Linked DNA regions of Struthio camelus. The protein of the gene in region 1 interacts with the protein of each later gene in a pairwise test. Links are inferred from orthologs where the notes say so. Each region holds a gene or a part of one and is shown in the gene's direction. Other genes may lie near its edges. The genes, in order: FRK and BNIP2.

Region 1 (8,522 bases):
ATAAAATGAAAAATAGTGGCTCAGATCAGGTCCCATTGAAGATAATGGCAAAACTCATTAAATTTAGGAAGAATGAGATCTGATTGTTTGCACAAACAGAAAGTCACATACACTAGTTCACTCCTTGACAGAATCTAATTCCTCTGTGTTCATTTGTTGTGAGACGTAGCCTGTATTAGGCCCCAATTCAGCAAATAAATAAGCAATCCACATCACTAAAGCACTTGAAAATGTACTTTTAAAGCTGTCTAGAGCAGAGATGGATTACTGGATCAGCTTTATAAAAATAAATAGCCAGATTTTTCTCATTACAAATGCACACAATTTAAAGTGGAAAATACAGGATCAAATATAACCCTATGTCTTTGTAGATTTATGGTTTAAGATCACACACAAAAGGGGAATACGATTAATCAATAAGGATAAACAATTTCATCAAGAGTAAAATTACATAAATAATTTATTTTCATTGAAAAGAACGGCAATTTGCAAATTACAGAAACAAAATGGAAGGGCTGATTAAAAGGATTATAAAAAAGCTACAAAGTGGTGGTAATGTGTTTCTTTCTAACGTGCAAATGAAAAGAAATATTGCTGGAAAGACAGCTGTAATAAAAAAAAATCACTATGCTTCATTTTTATTTGTTACTTTAACAACCAACACAACTTTAAACTGTTTAATCACTTGAATTATTTACCACACACAGATTCATAGCATTATATATTTTCTTTTCTTCTTTTTTCTTTAAAGATCATATTATTGGAATATTTTATTTACCTAGAACCTTTAACTTGCTTGATCACAATGCATTAAGGAGTTAGTTTCTAAGAGAGGTATATTATTTCCAAATATGTAAATTGCCCGATGTATTATTGGCAACATTTTAACTATTGGTTAGAAGAAGATTATACAATACCAAAAATGATGCTGTGGACAGCAGTTTCATACATTATTTAATGATAGTTCTTGTATTTTATATTTTCTTAATTCCTTAGTTTTCAACAGAGAAGGGTTTTTTTTTTGTTTACAAAATTTAAAACAATTATAGAGGAAAATGTTTGTTTCTGTTGCAATCTTATCTTATTAATAAGATAAAGCGCTTTCTTTTTCAGTTTCCAGTTTGGACTGGCTCATATTTCTTAACCAAACTGCTGGTTGATATTGCTTTGGAATATTCATTTTCCCCAACAGAGAATACAGTTCTGACTGTAATTCTTCTCTGCATGGCATAGGGGACTTGTTTGGAACATCATGTATCATCAGTACTAAAGCCCGATACTCAGTGATGTTCAGTCCCTGCTTCTGAAATATAGAGCTGAATTTTTATGAAATGAAGGAGGAAATGTTCATTTTTTCTAAAACTCTAAGTTATTGCATAATTATAGCAATGGTTCTATAAATATTACAAACAATACAATAAATATAGGAAATATCTACAATGAAAACTAATAAAAAACAGTTTCGAAAGCATGGAATACAAATACAAATTCTATCAAAACAACACTTTTGAAATGTTATGTATTAATATGATTTAGTCTGTTACTTCTGTTCATGTGGAGCAGTAGCTCATTCCAAGAGCAGTTCAGCTAATATCAGTGTTTCAGATTAGGTTTGTACGAGTCTTATTAAACCATAACATAACAACACATTATTCTTCTGTCCATTCAGGCAACTGAGAGAAATATGTTTCACCACCATATTTAAACATGATTGTTTTGTAGTATAAACCAGGCCTAAAGCGAATTTGATTTAATGAATTTAGTGGCATGCAAAGTAAATCCTTTATGACAGAAGGATCGCAAGTCTAATGCAATGTTTGCAAGACTAATTTATTTATGGGCTTTGTACGTACCATACAGAACATAAAAAGTAACTTCAGGTATGTGTCATCTTTGAACCAACAGTATCAATGTGGATTTTTTTCATTATGGTATAAGGAAATCTACTTCAATAGCAATGGGGAATTACACATTTTGAAGGGGAAATGGACTATTTGATTGAGTAGGTTCTTTTCCTTTTCTAAAATCTAAGTTTATAGGATCCTGTCAGACACAGATGGAAAATGATCCATCTTTGTTTTAAGGTGTTGCATATTTCAAGAAATTACTTCCAATATTTATGATTTCTTTAATATTAATATAAGGACCAGAATGCTAAATTTCAGGATCCATACTGTAAATGTGCCATTCTGTCCATGATAAAATCATCCTTCTCTCTAGCCATTGTCAGTTGTAAAAATGAGGTGAGACTCTGCTGTCCTTCTCAAAGCATTTACGCTAATAAAATTCATCAATATACCTAATTAAGTCTTTCACAGCCACTATACAGACAGTAGCTTATTTATAGGGACGATTTCTGATTTGACATTCAGCCTCCAAAATAAATGAAATAAAGAAACAGAAGGCCAGTGAGTAATACTGATCTGCTTGGTCTCCTTTTTCAGAAAGAAAATATTCTAGGATACCAGGGGGGGAAAAAAACCCACCTACCCACCCACCCCCCGCCCACCCCCCTCCCCCCCCCCACAAAGTTGTTGCAAAGATTATCCTATCAAATGATATGCAATACCAGCACACAAGACTTGGTCAATAGTTTGTATTCAAAAGCTGCTAAATATACAAGATTATCCTAGTTTGTTCAAAACTATGAGCAGCATGTAAATGAAGATAATAGGATTTTTGTTTTCAGCAGAAACAGTGAAAACATTTTTATTATGTGTTCATTTTGGTCTCACCTGTGATAAAATTTTGTGGTCTCTAAAACATAAGGACTAGTGCTTTATTTTCAGAAATGCGGAGAATTCTTAATAAAATCACTAGGATGGGCAAAAACATTTGCAAAGACAATGATCCAGTGTGACTACCACAGTTTAGCTGGAATGAGACGAACCACATTTCCAGCCCACACAGGCCCTGGAATTTGCAGAGCATTTCTCAGCAGACCTATTACCCATCTGCTTCAGAAACTGTCTCCTTTGCATAATCTTTCCTTTCTCTCTCTCTTTTTTTCTAATTTCTTGAATCTGATTAACGAATCTCATGGCTATTTATTGAAGTCTGCTTGCTTCATAAATAGAACTGATCCTAAAGGGTTGATTTGGAAGGAAATAATCTAGTGTGCAGTTATTGACCGCTTTCAGAAAAAGTCTTTCTCATCTTGTAAAGCCAAGCAGGGGCATAAATTGGGAGAGAAGATGAATTTAATGCCTGGGATTGTCTGAGCTAAGATATTCACATACAGAAATGTTTGCAAGCTCAAGCCACAATTTCACTACAGTTATATAAATATTTATCTGAGTGGTCTCAGTGTATTCAATGGGATTTCCAATGTGTGTATTGGTACTGGAGGGCAAAGATAGGTCTTAATCTTGGAAAGAGCTTGTGCATGAGTTTGATTCTGTACTAGGTAAGTAGCTTCATTGTCATGATGGAACTATTTTGTGCTGTAAATGCGCATGCAAATCTTTGCCAGCTTAATGCCTAAGTTATGGGAAACATGGAACACTTTACAGGAAAAGCCTATCAAATCCACACATCTGAAAACTGAGAAAACAGAGATTATGTAATAAATCTTTTCTAATGTTTCCTGATCTCAGTAAATTTAGATAATTCTTGAAACAAGACTAATTAAAATAATTTCCCATTCAAAATAAGACTTTTCAGTCTTTGGATACTGTCCAACACACTTATGAAAGCAAATATCTATTGGCTGTCCATATTCTTGTTAATGTGGTTAAGAGCTATGTGACGATTCACAAGCTGAATATGATTTTTGTAACATGCTATTTTTGGTTGGGCCCAAAGGATTCATTACAGATTATGGGGTTTAGTAATCAGCTGGTGTGCGTGGTATTTTCCCATTTATTCAGTTTCCATCGCATCATTGCGGAAGAGGAGCAAGGGACCCAGTTGCCCATCCCTCTTTGGTGGAGATGCCTCAGGTAGTAATACGCAGACAGCAAAAGCTTCTTTCAGATATCCAGCAGCCACAAGTCCATCACAAGGCTGCTCGTGCCACCAGTCTCCACTCACTCAAAGGACTGACTGAGAGACATGGTGAAAACAGCAGTGGCCTCAGTTTCCTTGTTCCTTCCAGTAAAGTACAGCAATAGCAGTCAGCAACTGCAAATGGAGCAAAAAGGAGACATGAAAATGATTAAGGAGTTATTGCTAGTTATTGCTGATAAGAAAATTGATGAAGCTGCTTTTCTTTATCTCCAGGAAGTGCCATTTCTTTGCGTGGGTTGTGTTTGCCCTATTTTGCCTCTTACCGAAATGTCACCGTGGGGCACAGGCAAGCTACCTCTTCTGCTTCTTGCTCAAAACATTACATGTTCCCCGCACTGTGGTGATTTGCAGCTGTGATAAAGCTTGGCTAACACTGCTGGGATGCAGGAGATGGCTCTCCAGGCTGCTTTGCCTTGGCAGCATCCAGACGCCCATTCCGGGTGTGTCTACCAGTTTATAGGTGCTTTAGAAACGGACCCATACAGGCTAGCTTAGTTTCCATTGGTTTACTTGCTGACTGGAAGACCACCATCTTTTTTTATGTGTGGTTGGTAAAGTTAGCTAACCCTTTAAAGCAATTCTTTGGCTAGTGACTTTGCTCTTTTAAAATGCAGAATAAGGAATGAATTAAAATCTATTACTGTTTTACTGTAAGTCCCATATATTTATTTTTCCTCATACAAAGTGCCAAACCCAGCTCATTTGGAAAAAAAAAAGAAAAGAAAAGAAAAGAAAAGAAAATAGCCAGAGGACTGTTTCAAAGCCCTGACCTTCAGCAGGAGGAAATGCCTGTGTGTAAAGCAGGCACAGAAACAGCAGGTGTGCTCCAGGTGAGGGCGCCTCCCAGCCTCAGGCATGCAAAGGATTCCCACCGAGAAGAAAAACCGAAGCAAACCAGGAAACAAAAAGAAATATTCAGCCTGTCCACGTCGGAGACTGCTAAAGAAACAATCAGGTCAGCTTGGTTAATCATTACTGAGACAGACTGTACAGAAGTTCACAGCTGATCACACAGAAGAAACCTGTTTGCCATAAGAAAACTCCCCTCACAAGCAGTAAGAAATGAGAAGCCTCCCACATCAGATCTTCTGAATTTGTTTTTTGCTGTAGGAGAAAAGGACCCATGCTCTCCTATTGTTCCAAGACTTCAGCCCAAACACAGTTCTTTTGTTGCTTTCCTGTTCAGAAGAGGAAGTGAGAAATTTCCCTCCACATGTGCTCCAGCGCTTGGACGCTCAGGTTTCACTCCTGAATCAGGAGCCGCCTGTAATGAGCTCCCGGTGGGGCTTGGAGAGAAGGTTCAGCTGGGGCAAGAGTTGTTTCATTTTGTGCCAAAGGAGGAGGAGAGGAAGAAACGCTGCAAAGAACTGAAATGTTGATGGTGCAAAAAGTTGTCTAAGAGTATTGCAGTTCGGAAAGTAAAAGAGAAGAAGAAAACAGAGGAAGGTACAAAGAAATAGAGCAGCAGGATGGGAAACTTTTGTCAGAGGCATTGCATCTGTTTGCAGCCCTGTATCCCTTGCGTATTCTCACGGGGAGAAAATGATCGGAATGAGGTTGGCCAGGTCTTCGCCAACCCTGCTGTCACAGGAGATGCCTTCCAAACAGGGCAGAAAGACAGATACAGTGAAATAAGAGGTAAACCTTTGCCTTCGCTGCCTGGGGAGCATCTGGTGAATACTCGCAGATTTGTGGCACTCTTTGACTATGAGGCTCGGACTGAAGAGGACTTGAGCTTCCAAGCTGGCGACAAGCTTGAAGTGCTGGATGCTTCCCACGAGGGCTGGTGGTATGCTAGGCTCCTCCTGCCGAGGGGGTCAGTCTGTCCCGGCCGCAAGCTCCAGGGCTACATCCCTGCCAACTACATAGCTGCTGACCAGACCATTGAAGCTGAACTGTAAGTAACCTGTGTAACATACACTGCAATCTCTTTTCTGTTAGTTTAAACTGGTTTGGAGCAGACTTTTATGGCTTTTTATTTGCTGAGTAGGACCCTGCCACACTCAGCCTCCTTGCGTGTGTGAGGAGAAGACGCCACGGTCTCAAAAAGATCAATTATAAGGGGTAAAGTGTTCAGGTTTTGGTTTAAATTATTTCCCTCTCTGATATGCCCTAATTGCCTGCTCAAGAAGCATCTGGGAATCAGGCTGGTTACCACTGTGAGAGCTCACTGTTGCTATTGGTATGAGAGTAAGTGTGTGTTAGATGCTTTTCAGAAAGTAAAAAGAAATAACCCCTGCCCTAAACAGCCTTTAGTCTAACTACGTGCCATGTTAGCAATTAGTCAGAGTTTCAGGAAGCTACCTTTATACCTTTAGATTCCTGTTACAAGTGAGTCTCTAAAAGATAACTTACTTTCTCATGGTTCCCACTGAACCATTTCTTATCTGTAAGCAAATCCCTGCTCCCAGAACAAAGTTAACCGGAGTAAGTACTGCAAAGGAAAAAGAAAGTGGATATAGCAAAGGAATGCAAATTAGATTTGTTTAAGTTTCACAGAGCTTAATTACACAGCCCATATTTGTCTGACCCTTGAAAACACATTTGATCATATTTAACATTCAGAACTGGACCAGAAATGACATATAATAAGTTACTTAGCTCTCTAGTGAGGATGAGTGGTGATGAATCAGTCTGGGATGCAGTTATTTTTGTGTGTTGCAATCAGGGGCAGCACTTACTAAAACAGCACTGACTGCAATTCCAGAAATATGTGCATGCAAATTATCAATATGGAAAGAGACAACAGAAATAGCATTCTTAGCTTGCAGAAATCATTTTGACTAGAAACTGTGTATATCTCTTTACTCATCATGTCCAAAGATTTTCTTTAAACCTGAGAGGAATGACATTGCAGTTTTTCAGTTAAAGCTCCTTTGGACCTGAAACATCACCTCTGATCTGATCCGTGCACTGTATTTTCTAGGGCTAGGATAATTGGCTTAGATATGATTATGCCAGTCCTTTATCAACTGTAAGATTTGTTCAGGAGGCATCTTAGGGCAATTGTAACCTGAAAACCTTAATTTCCAGAAACTGACCAGCCATTTCTTTTTCTGTGTTCAGGCAGACAATGTTTTCAATGATCGTGTTCAGAAGAATTCTTCCAATTGCAGAAATTAATCTGCAAGGAAGGTGGTCTTCCGAACCACTGGAGAAGTGGTGGTAGGCTATAATTCAACTCAGCTTGACCTTCAGACTCTTTCAAGAACCTAGTTTTCTCAACAAGTCATCTACAATTTCTACTTGCTGTTAATACTGTGAAAGTAACTTTGTTCAGTTATACAGCAAAGTCTCAAGTATCAGCTCTTAAGATCCTTCTTATCTTTCTAGATCTCCAGCATCAGATATGGAGTTAACTTTGCCAAAGTGCATTGCCGAATAATGATTTTTTTGCTTTTTATAGAAAAAAAAAATCTTTATATACTTCTCCTCCTTTTTTAGTAAAGATTAAATTTTGATAACAGATTTTTGTTTATAGATTCTTTTTTTTAGAACAGTTGAGAAGAAGTGTGAAGCTTGCACAGCACTCGAAGTCATTTCTTCAAAAGTTTGTCAGTGCTTTAGTGTAATACCAAAACTAATCTGGCTAAATATGTAGTCTTTTCTCAGGTATTCAGATTTCCTGCTAGGTCAGTTGGCCTTAGTGACCTTCAGTAAAAATAAGTACACAAGACTTTCTTGCATCAGGCCCGCAGATATCCTTTCGTATAATCATAGACTAACTTAGGTGGAAAGGACCTCTGAAGGTCACTCGCACCAACCCCTCAACTCAAAATGTGGCCAACGTAAAGTTAGACCAGCTTGCTTAGGGCTGTGTCCACTTGACCTTTTCGCCCTTATGGTGAGGAATTTTCTCCGTATTCCAAGTGGAATTTTCCTTGCTATAATTTCCTCTAAAACTTCACCCTCACCTATGCTCCACCTTTCATATGTCTGTTATTCTAGTGAAGAAAATTAGATGAAACAATAAGATCTGCAGTAATGGCAGTGTTTTAAAGAGCTAAATCTTGTTTTCTTTAAAGTAAACCTTTTCATTTTGATTTTAATTAGCTCTCCTTTGGTGTTGGCCAGTTGCTCAGGGTCATGACAGATTTTTCTGGAAATAAGAAAAGATTTTATTGCATCCTTCCATCTTTTATACCAGTTCTTTAGTCGCATCAGAGAACTGAAAAAGAATGAGAGTCTTGTAATCTCTATAGCATATTCACCTACCAGAACACATATATGTCGTATATATGTTGCGTGTTGTTTATGCTTTGCAATTTTTGCCAGGTAGAGCTGACCAACAGTGTTTGGGCTAGCTGAGAGCACGTTCCATAGCACTAGCTAGCTGCTGTATGGCTGCAGAGATGATGGGAATTTGAACTTGTTTCTAGACTATGTCTCCATCTTACTGGATCCAGGTTAGCTGGTTCAGGGAAGCTAACTTGTTGATCATCTATGAATATGCCTTGGTCACTGTGTGGTGCACATGGAGGAATTTATGAAATTAGTGATTTTCCATTTTTTTG
Region 2 (8,009 bases), on another chromosome or scaffold:
CCTTTGACTGGTTTGTTGAGGAAAGGAAACTTGTCATGCTGCCAAGAATAAAACTGCTTCTGGGCTTAGTTTTGAATTTTATAAAGTGAATAAGTGAAAAACGTATACATGTTCAGACCCAAGTCATGAATAATTAAAAGAATATATAATTGTACCCAGTTTTCCCCTCAAGCTCAACCAGCAAAGACATCTTCTGTCCATGTAACAGGGTACTTCATGTTTTTTTCAGCAACTGTAAGAAGTGATCTGAACCAAGTATCACTGAATTCATATAGTATGCGAATATGAGTAACAGCCTGACCACCAGTACACACAGGAAAGCAAATGGAGAACTCAGTTTTATTTGAGGGCAGTTGCAGATTTTTGATAAATATTTTCCCAGTGCCGGTCATCCACATTTTATATTGGATTCTGAGCACAATACAATAAAAATTATATTATGAACACAGCATTATGGTAAACTTAAGCTAATACTGCAAATGGCAAAGATCAGACATCTTTACAAAGCATGATAACAGGTCAAAAATAATTACGCAGAAAATAACCTCAGAGAACGGACGTTACCGGCATCTTTTTTTGAGATAGGAACAAGTTCTAGTACAAATTTAAAAATGCAAGTTAATGGTAATGAGCCAAATGTTTGCCTGCAAGTATACTGGTGCATTAGTTGTCTAATGACTTTTATCCAGAAAAGGCAGAAGCAAGAGATTCCTATTGCTTTTATTTTCCACATTATTCCCATAGAGTCAGCCTATGAGCACTTGCTATCTCTGTTTTCAACTCAAGTGAGAACTGGGATTAGTAACTACTCTTTTGTGAGAATGCAGTAGTCTGCAAATATGATATTAAGAGTAATGTATTTAGTACCTTTCACCTGCAGAAATCTTATTTAAACACTAATAAAGAGTACCAATAACTTCTGTAAACAAGTTAATCACTATCCCCTCCCACAAATGTAGACATACGGCTAGCAAGCTGGCTCTTGCTCTCTCTCATATCAACAAACTGATGCTTGCTGATAAGAAAAATGTATTAAACAACTTAAAATCCTGTACGGGAGGAATGAAGAGTCTCTTTTGAATGTAGTAATAGCTATGGCCTTGAAATAGCAAAGGTCAAGAGGTTGATTTGATTGTTATTAAAGGTGCACGTTCTTTATATCCTTGTACTTCCTTAGCTGAATTCCGAACGCAAGACCTTCACTTAGACTTGCTTTCTGCCTTGACCTCTCATCAGCTAGAAGGTATGCGCTCAGAGAAAGAATAAGGCAAAGCAATAAGGAGGGCACCCAGCTCTCGGAGAGGTATGAAGTGTAAGTCTGATGAAGAGGAATGGCCCACTACAGCATTGCGAGTTCCAGCTGAAGTAGCTCAAACAGGTTTGGGATAATGTAAACTGGGCACAGGAGGACTGTGGGGAGGGTCACTCTGCACCATGTTTCACCACATGATATATAAAGAGGATGCAACTATCACCTTTAGCTAGTTACACCATCCTGACAACTGATTTCAATAGCTTTCATATGGCTTTAAAGAGATGATGATGTACCCTACAGGAATATCACAAGTGATTCAAAACATTATGCACTATTTAGTCCCTGCCCACATATATGAAAGTTATTACTTTATAATGTGTTGCTCTTGTCATTCTGAATCGCAAAAAATGTCTAATAAGATGGGAGACAAATTATTATGTACGCGGAATACAGAAGTAGAGGTAAACTACAGCCCAAAGACCTTGTCATCAAAAAAGGGCAAGATAAGACTGAATAAAATCCAGTATTCTTACTTTCTGCCTAGGGCAAGGAGGGATTACATATCACTGCAGTCCCTATGTCCAACCTTCAAGCAAAGATGGACTTTCAAATGAGTGTTTTTAAATTCCAACATTTCTGAGTTGTTGCATGAACCATTTTAAAGGGGGTAGTCTTAATTTGTTGGGTTTTTTTACATTACTAGAAATTTTTTTCTTATAAGTTAAATGAGGAAAAGACTATGAAAAATTAGAATGTTTTGGTGTTCTACTGCTTTTCATGACTATTTCATGTTTAAAGGTTAATTGTGAATTACACCAGACCGAAAGTTGTGTAACAGTTGGTGGTTGTTTGTTTGTGTTTGTGGGTTTTTTTTTTTTTGTGGTATGCAGGACAAAATTAATGTGACAAAGCATTATTCTTACAAGCCTATTCTCTTTGGTAAAGCTTTCATATAAAAATCTGCTTACGTTTGCAATGGTCTGATGTTTAAAAATAGAATTATTCAACATTCCCTAGTAGTTAGCTCTGACCCCTTGTTTGCTTGTTTTCTAGGTTACGTAGGAATATCGATAGATTTCCAGCTATACTGTGCCACCCCGTGTAAGAGATGAGAAATTGCATGACATTGCTGACCCTCGCAAAATGAGTTTGGAGTTAGTATGCCTTACAGAATATGACAATCTGTGTATTCTAAGGACAGTTTTGAATTTTATCAAAAACTGAAGCACATTTTGGAAAGCATTAAAATATTTAGCATGAAACTTAGTTTCTGTAAAAGCATTAATTTGCTGGAAAACTTTCAAACTGTTGAAATAATAATAAATAAAGGCCCTCTATGTATTACGGCTTGCTGTTGAAAGACAAGGAAGATTATTTCTTGGGTAAGAAAATTATTCTCTACAGAACAATTTAATCTGATTTTCTACGTTATCGAAAACAGGACACTACTGACTGAAAATCTATACTCTGACACTTTGCAAACTTCAATTAGCTTATAAAGTAAGAGTTTCTTCAGGCTTCAGACTCGCAGGTAAGTTTTGCTCAATGTCAACTGACCAGCCAATACAAGGGAACTTCTCTTTCAGATAATGTAATGTTCCTCTCCAAGAAGCAGAGACCCTTGATCTACGGAGCTCAGTCAGACCCAGCATAGTCTGAATAATTCCCACTGTTCACAGATACTCTTGATTCAACAGACCGCTGATCCTAACCATTCAGTCTTCAATACCGTGACAAGTACTTTATTACACACTGATCACAGAAGTCACATAAGTGGATCTCCACCATTTAAAAACTGGGATGCTATGGTCAAGGGATGTTCCAAAGTAGGTATGCTACTAATGGTAAGTTTGGTGTGCAGCTGGGAGCAGACTGAAAAGTATAATGTTCTTAAGCACTAAATAATGCTCTTTGGTCATCTTCTGTGGCATTCTGACCTCCAGAAATAAAAAATGGTGACAGAACAAAGATGGGAGAATGCAATATTGTTCCCTTTTGCTGTTTGGGCTCACTGTTACTGTATTTCTCCTACCAGTCGTTGCATACCCATTTTTTTATATTTTAAGCTAGCTCTTACTTTGTGTTTGTAGCTATTACCTGATAATTATGTTACAGTACTGCCTACAGGCCTCACTCTGTTTGCATGATGCTAATTCTTGATACAGGTATTTTCTCTGTTCTAATTACCTTAATTATTGCTTTTTCCCCCCAGTTATTCTTGCACTTTACCTTTGCTCAGGGGTTTGTGGGCTGAGAGTTCTCTTCTTCTTTAGCAATATTTTCCTTTTCTCACGTTTTCCTACATTCAGTTCTTATACCCTTAAATCTCTTTAATTCTTCCCACTCTTCTCCGCATCTGTCACGCTTGTTCCAAGTTTCTTCTCTACCCTAGAATAAAACAAACTTGTCACTGTTGTTGCATCTTTCACCTTTGGGCAACACAGTGGCAGTGAGAAGTAAAAATGAAGTTAGTAGCTGTCTCAGTGTCATAGCAATGTGTGAGTGAGTGGCCAATTCTGCATGTATCTGAATTTGTTTGCATATACGCTTGGAATGCGTGTATTCACTTTCCAGCAACAGCCCCGTTGTAGAAATCAGCTAGTGTTCATGACATTTCACCCTAAGCATGATAAAATCCCTGTGCTGTAAGCGTTCTCTTGTCCTGCTGACCCGTACCACACCAGGCAGGGCAGTCACCAGTGGGGGGGGGGGGGGGGGGAACATAACACAGACCTCCCTCTCTACCTCAGCCAAAAACCAGCCCCTCCTCCCAGAGACCTCGGCCAAAACGGGTCTCCATCATCACCTTTCGTTACGTATGCGATTATGATGGCAACGAGCTTCATCGAATTTCCTATGCTTCTATCCTGCCTCTGTAATATTAAAATCTGGAAATTAATTATTTCGTGTTGAAGGACAGTATTTTGGATGCCACACCTGACACTTAAATAGCTGAAGCTGTAATTCCAAATGAGGTTGGGACTTTTTTTCTCCCTCAGCACCTCCGCTCCGTCGCCTCCCCAGGACGCACTCCCCGTTGTATCCGTTCTCCCGCCCCTCAGGGAGGAAGCCCCGCCCTCGCCCCTCACGCACACCTCGGCGTCCCTCAAGCGCTCGCAGCACACGCGGGCCCGCCCGGGCCCTTGGCCGCGGCCGCCTCACGGGGCGCCAACGGACGCCCCGCGCGCCCCCAACGGCCGGGCGCGCGAGGACCGCGTGCGCATGCGCCAGCTGCCGGAGCTGGGAGGGGCGGGTGAGGCGGATGGCTTCTTCCACGCGTGCGCGCCAGCGCCCCCTTCCCTCCCCCAGCCCCAGCGGCCGCGGAGCGCGGCGTCACGTGAGCGCGGCGGCCTATCCGCTTCCGGGTTAGCGCGTCGCGGGCCTTTGCGCGGCGGCCTGCGGGCGTCGGCTGCCTCCGCCAGGTACGGCCCGCGGCGGGGGCGGGCGCGGGCGCGGGGCGTCGGCGCGGCCTGCTGTGGCTCGGCAGGCTTCGGCGGGGCCGCCCGTGGCGCGGGGCGGCGGGCGCTCCGGGGCCTGGCGGCAGCTGTCGGTTGCGCGAGGGCAGCGGGGCGCTGCGGCGGTCGGGCGAGGAGCGCTGGCCGTGGGCGGCCCGCGGGGCGCGCGCAGCCGTTCGGGCGGTCTCCTCGCCGCTCGGTGCTTGCCTTCACATCGCAGCGATTTCGGGAGCGAAGGTTCTTCTGTCGCTCTGAGTACTTGTAGTAGGAATCTGTAACTCAGGGGCCCGACCAGCCCACGCCTCGCCGGCGAAGCGCAGCCCAAAAGCGGCCTCCTCAGAGAGGAGAGCAAGAGCGTTGTCATAAATCTCATCCTTTCCCGATGGTTTCGCTATGATTTGCTCGTGTTGAGGGAAGGGAGGAAAAAGATTGAGAAGTAATCTGTTAGTAATGGAAGTCATTGCGTGACCTCGTTTTGTAAGCTTGTACGTGGTAGAGTCTTGATTATAAAACGTCTGTCGCCAGATCTGGGAGATACTGTTTTGCAGCGTTACGGTTAGTGTGGCCGCGTTTTAAAAGCTTTATAAAGCTATTTAAAAGGGCTGTAGAAGCGCTTAGGAATTACGGTGAGCTACGCAATATGGATATGGGTGCAAGAAAACAGATATGTGTTCCTTGCTTTTGGCTTGCTGTGAAACCAAACTTGAAAAATACTCTTAGATTACACGTCTTTAATGCCTGCAAGCTGGATTTCAATTTAATGCGTCTCTGAAATGGTGAAGGTAAAATGTAGAAAAAAAGTTAGCTAGCTTTGTTTGAAGTTAATTTCAGCTTCCTGATACTGGAATAGCAGGCTGTTCTTCGTGCAGGTCACGTAGTACGTAGTTTAATCGTGTACTCACTGCAGTCCTCTTGCAGAATAAACCCCAGAGTTATTTTACTTCAAACAGTGCGGTGCTGATCAAGGGCTGCAAATAGGTCTTTGTCTGGGATAGAGAGATGTGAGCGTATCCAGATGCTTAACTCCTGTTCAGCTGTGTATTCCTTCTCTTCTGAGAATTCAACAGTGAAAACTATTTAAAAAGCAGCTTTAACTTCATAAATAAAACAGATTTCATGCATTCTGTTGTCTGTCGCTTTCTCTTTTAAGTATCTAGGATAAATTAGAGCGATATTGTTGACTTCTTCTGTTCAACTGTAAACCAAACCAAGAAACGGCAGTTTACCGTAGGCTTCTCTTCGCTCTCCTATTTGGTATTGCAGCACCTGCCCTAACAGTATTGGTGGGATAACCGTGAAAACTGTGTGCGCTCATCTAGCAGAGAAAGGGCTGAGAACAGTGCTGTTTGACTTCAGGTACAAGCAGTAACCTCTTCAAATGAAAACTTCATTAGCTGCAGCAGAAAAGTAGTGGATTTTAGTGATGTTTTGCCCTGTTAGGTGTTTTTTTCCCCGTTTGTAATGTTGTGACTTGCCTCTGGAGGTACAGTACACAAGTGCAAGAGGCACTGTCACACCCCGGTGTCCGGGGTTCCAGTAAAAGAGCAGAACCACGTGGCAGTCCTGCATCCATATGTTTTCCAACATGTGGAAGTTTCTAACCTTTGTAGCCTGGACTATTCAAATTCCATTTCCAGCAATAAAATGGAGAATAATGAGCAGTAGGGAGTGAAAATGAGCAAGCGTGCTGTTCCGAGAAACCAGGGCTTTTTTGAGTTGGCCACAAAGAGTGATAGGACCAGGTAGAAACTGCTTGCTTTTCTTCTACGTGACTAATAAAGAATTGCGTTATTACAGTATATTACATTTTTCAAGTTTAGTTTTCTAGATCTTTCTTCTACTCATTAATTAATGAGAGAGTTTGGCACAGTAAAAACACAGGAAGTCAGCGCTCCCACGGTAGCCATGGGAAGACTGTATTCAAAAGTCTGCTTTAGTTTGTAGAAGCAGAAATAATAGAATTTATTTTTTCCTGCTTTGTAAGTATTTATATTAATGATGTAAAGCATTCAGTAGCTAACTTGAAAGTTGGCACTCTTCTAACTTTCCTGAAATTGAAGATTACCCTCCTTCCTTAATTTCTAATTTTTCTAGTTGCTAAATGGTAGTGCTTTTGCAAGTGAGACTTAAATAAAGTCAAAAAATCCCAAATTGTTACTTAATCTGAATGTTTAGTAGGATGCAGAAATGGAATAGGCTAAAACTTATATAACTTTTATATTTTCTTATATAAGAAAAGTTTTATGATTTGGAACTTGCTTTGCAAGTTGTTTGCAATTGTGCAGTCTTTAGCAAATAATTGTTTTTAATACACTTTTATGAGATGTTGCTGATGAGAATTCTGCAAGGGATGTGGGAAATATTTTGTAAGAGTATTTTAAAATGTTATTACCTCCTGAAAAGAACTTTTAAAGTCTGTGTCTTAGTGCATTGAGTTTACCTCAATGTAAGGAAACGTATGTAGGCAGGAACCGTTTCTGCACTGAAATGCTGTATGTCTTAAATTAATGGATGTTACTTGATGTTCAGCATTCTTCAAAAGTGTGGTGAGAAACTTTAAGCAAAACTCTACTTTAAGCTCTCTTGTGGGAACTGTATTGTGAATGTGGTGCAGACAAGCTCAAGGGTAGCATCTCACAGGCACCAGCGCAGTGACAGGGCTTGTTTGTTTGTACACTGTCAGTTTTTTTCATTAGTGATTTGTCCCTTAAGATTGAAGTAATCAGTTTAGATTTTCTTTTAGGTTTAGGATCTGTTTGTTTGTTTTCAGTGAACCGTCAGATACTCTATTCCATGCTGTTTGTAACCACGCTATTCTGTTCATGTGATTGTGTAGGATGTTTTTGGAAACCTCCCATGTTCCATTTAAGTGGTCCAAAACAAAAATTCAGAAAGAACTGCATATAAATTCACCTGTTACTATTGATCAAAATATGAGCTTATCTCCAAGCAAATATTAAAAATTAATTGTTTCTAATAAATGCTAACAGGTTAGCATGCAGGAGACTTTGCTTAAAAATGTCAGCATCTTAATGAAAGAGAGGACACGTTTCCTGAGGAATATCCTATGATTCAAGCAGCAAGAAACTACTGCAAGCAGCATATTATTAAAAAAAAAAAAAAAAGGGAAAAGCAGGAGAGCTGGAAGGACCTTACTTGGGGGCCACGAGTGTGGGTGCGTAAGCGCATACACACTGCCAGCAACTGTGCCATGCAGGGGCGGAAGAATTCAAACAAGGAGTCTGACCCTCCAGGTGAATTGGGTTGTTGTCTTCTAGAAACTTTATTTCGGTTTCCTG

The links.
Region 2: the proteins of FRK (region 1) and BNIP2 interact in binary tests that used the Homo sapiens proteins (3 or more experiments, as listed by UniProt). The two-hybrid records come from large-scale screens. The link is inferred for Struthio camelus from reciprocal best matches to the Homo sapiens genes FRK and BNIP2.

The regions. Positions count from the first base shown.
Region 1 is NC_090944.1:63,933,502-63,942,023, reverse strand, and holds the start of FRK (tyrosine-protein kinase FRK), read left to right. Parts: upstream 1-4,722; 5' UTR 4,723-5,477; coding exon 5,478-5,905; intron 5,906-8,522. UniProt on the Homo sapiens protein: Non-receptor tyrosine-protein kinase that negatively regulates cell proliferation.
Region 2 is NC_090953.1:19,540,036-19,548,044, reverse strand, and holds the start of BNIP2 (BCL2/adenovirus E1B 19 kDa protein-interacting protein 2), read left to right. Parts: upstream 1-4,561; 5' UTR 4,562-4,677; intron 4,678-8,009.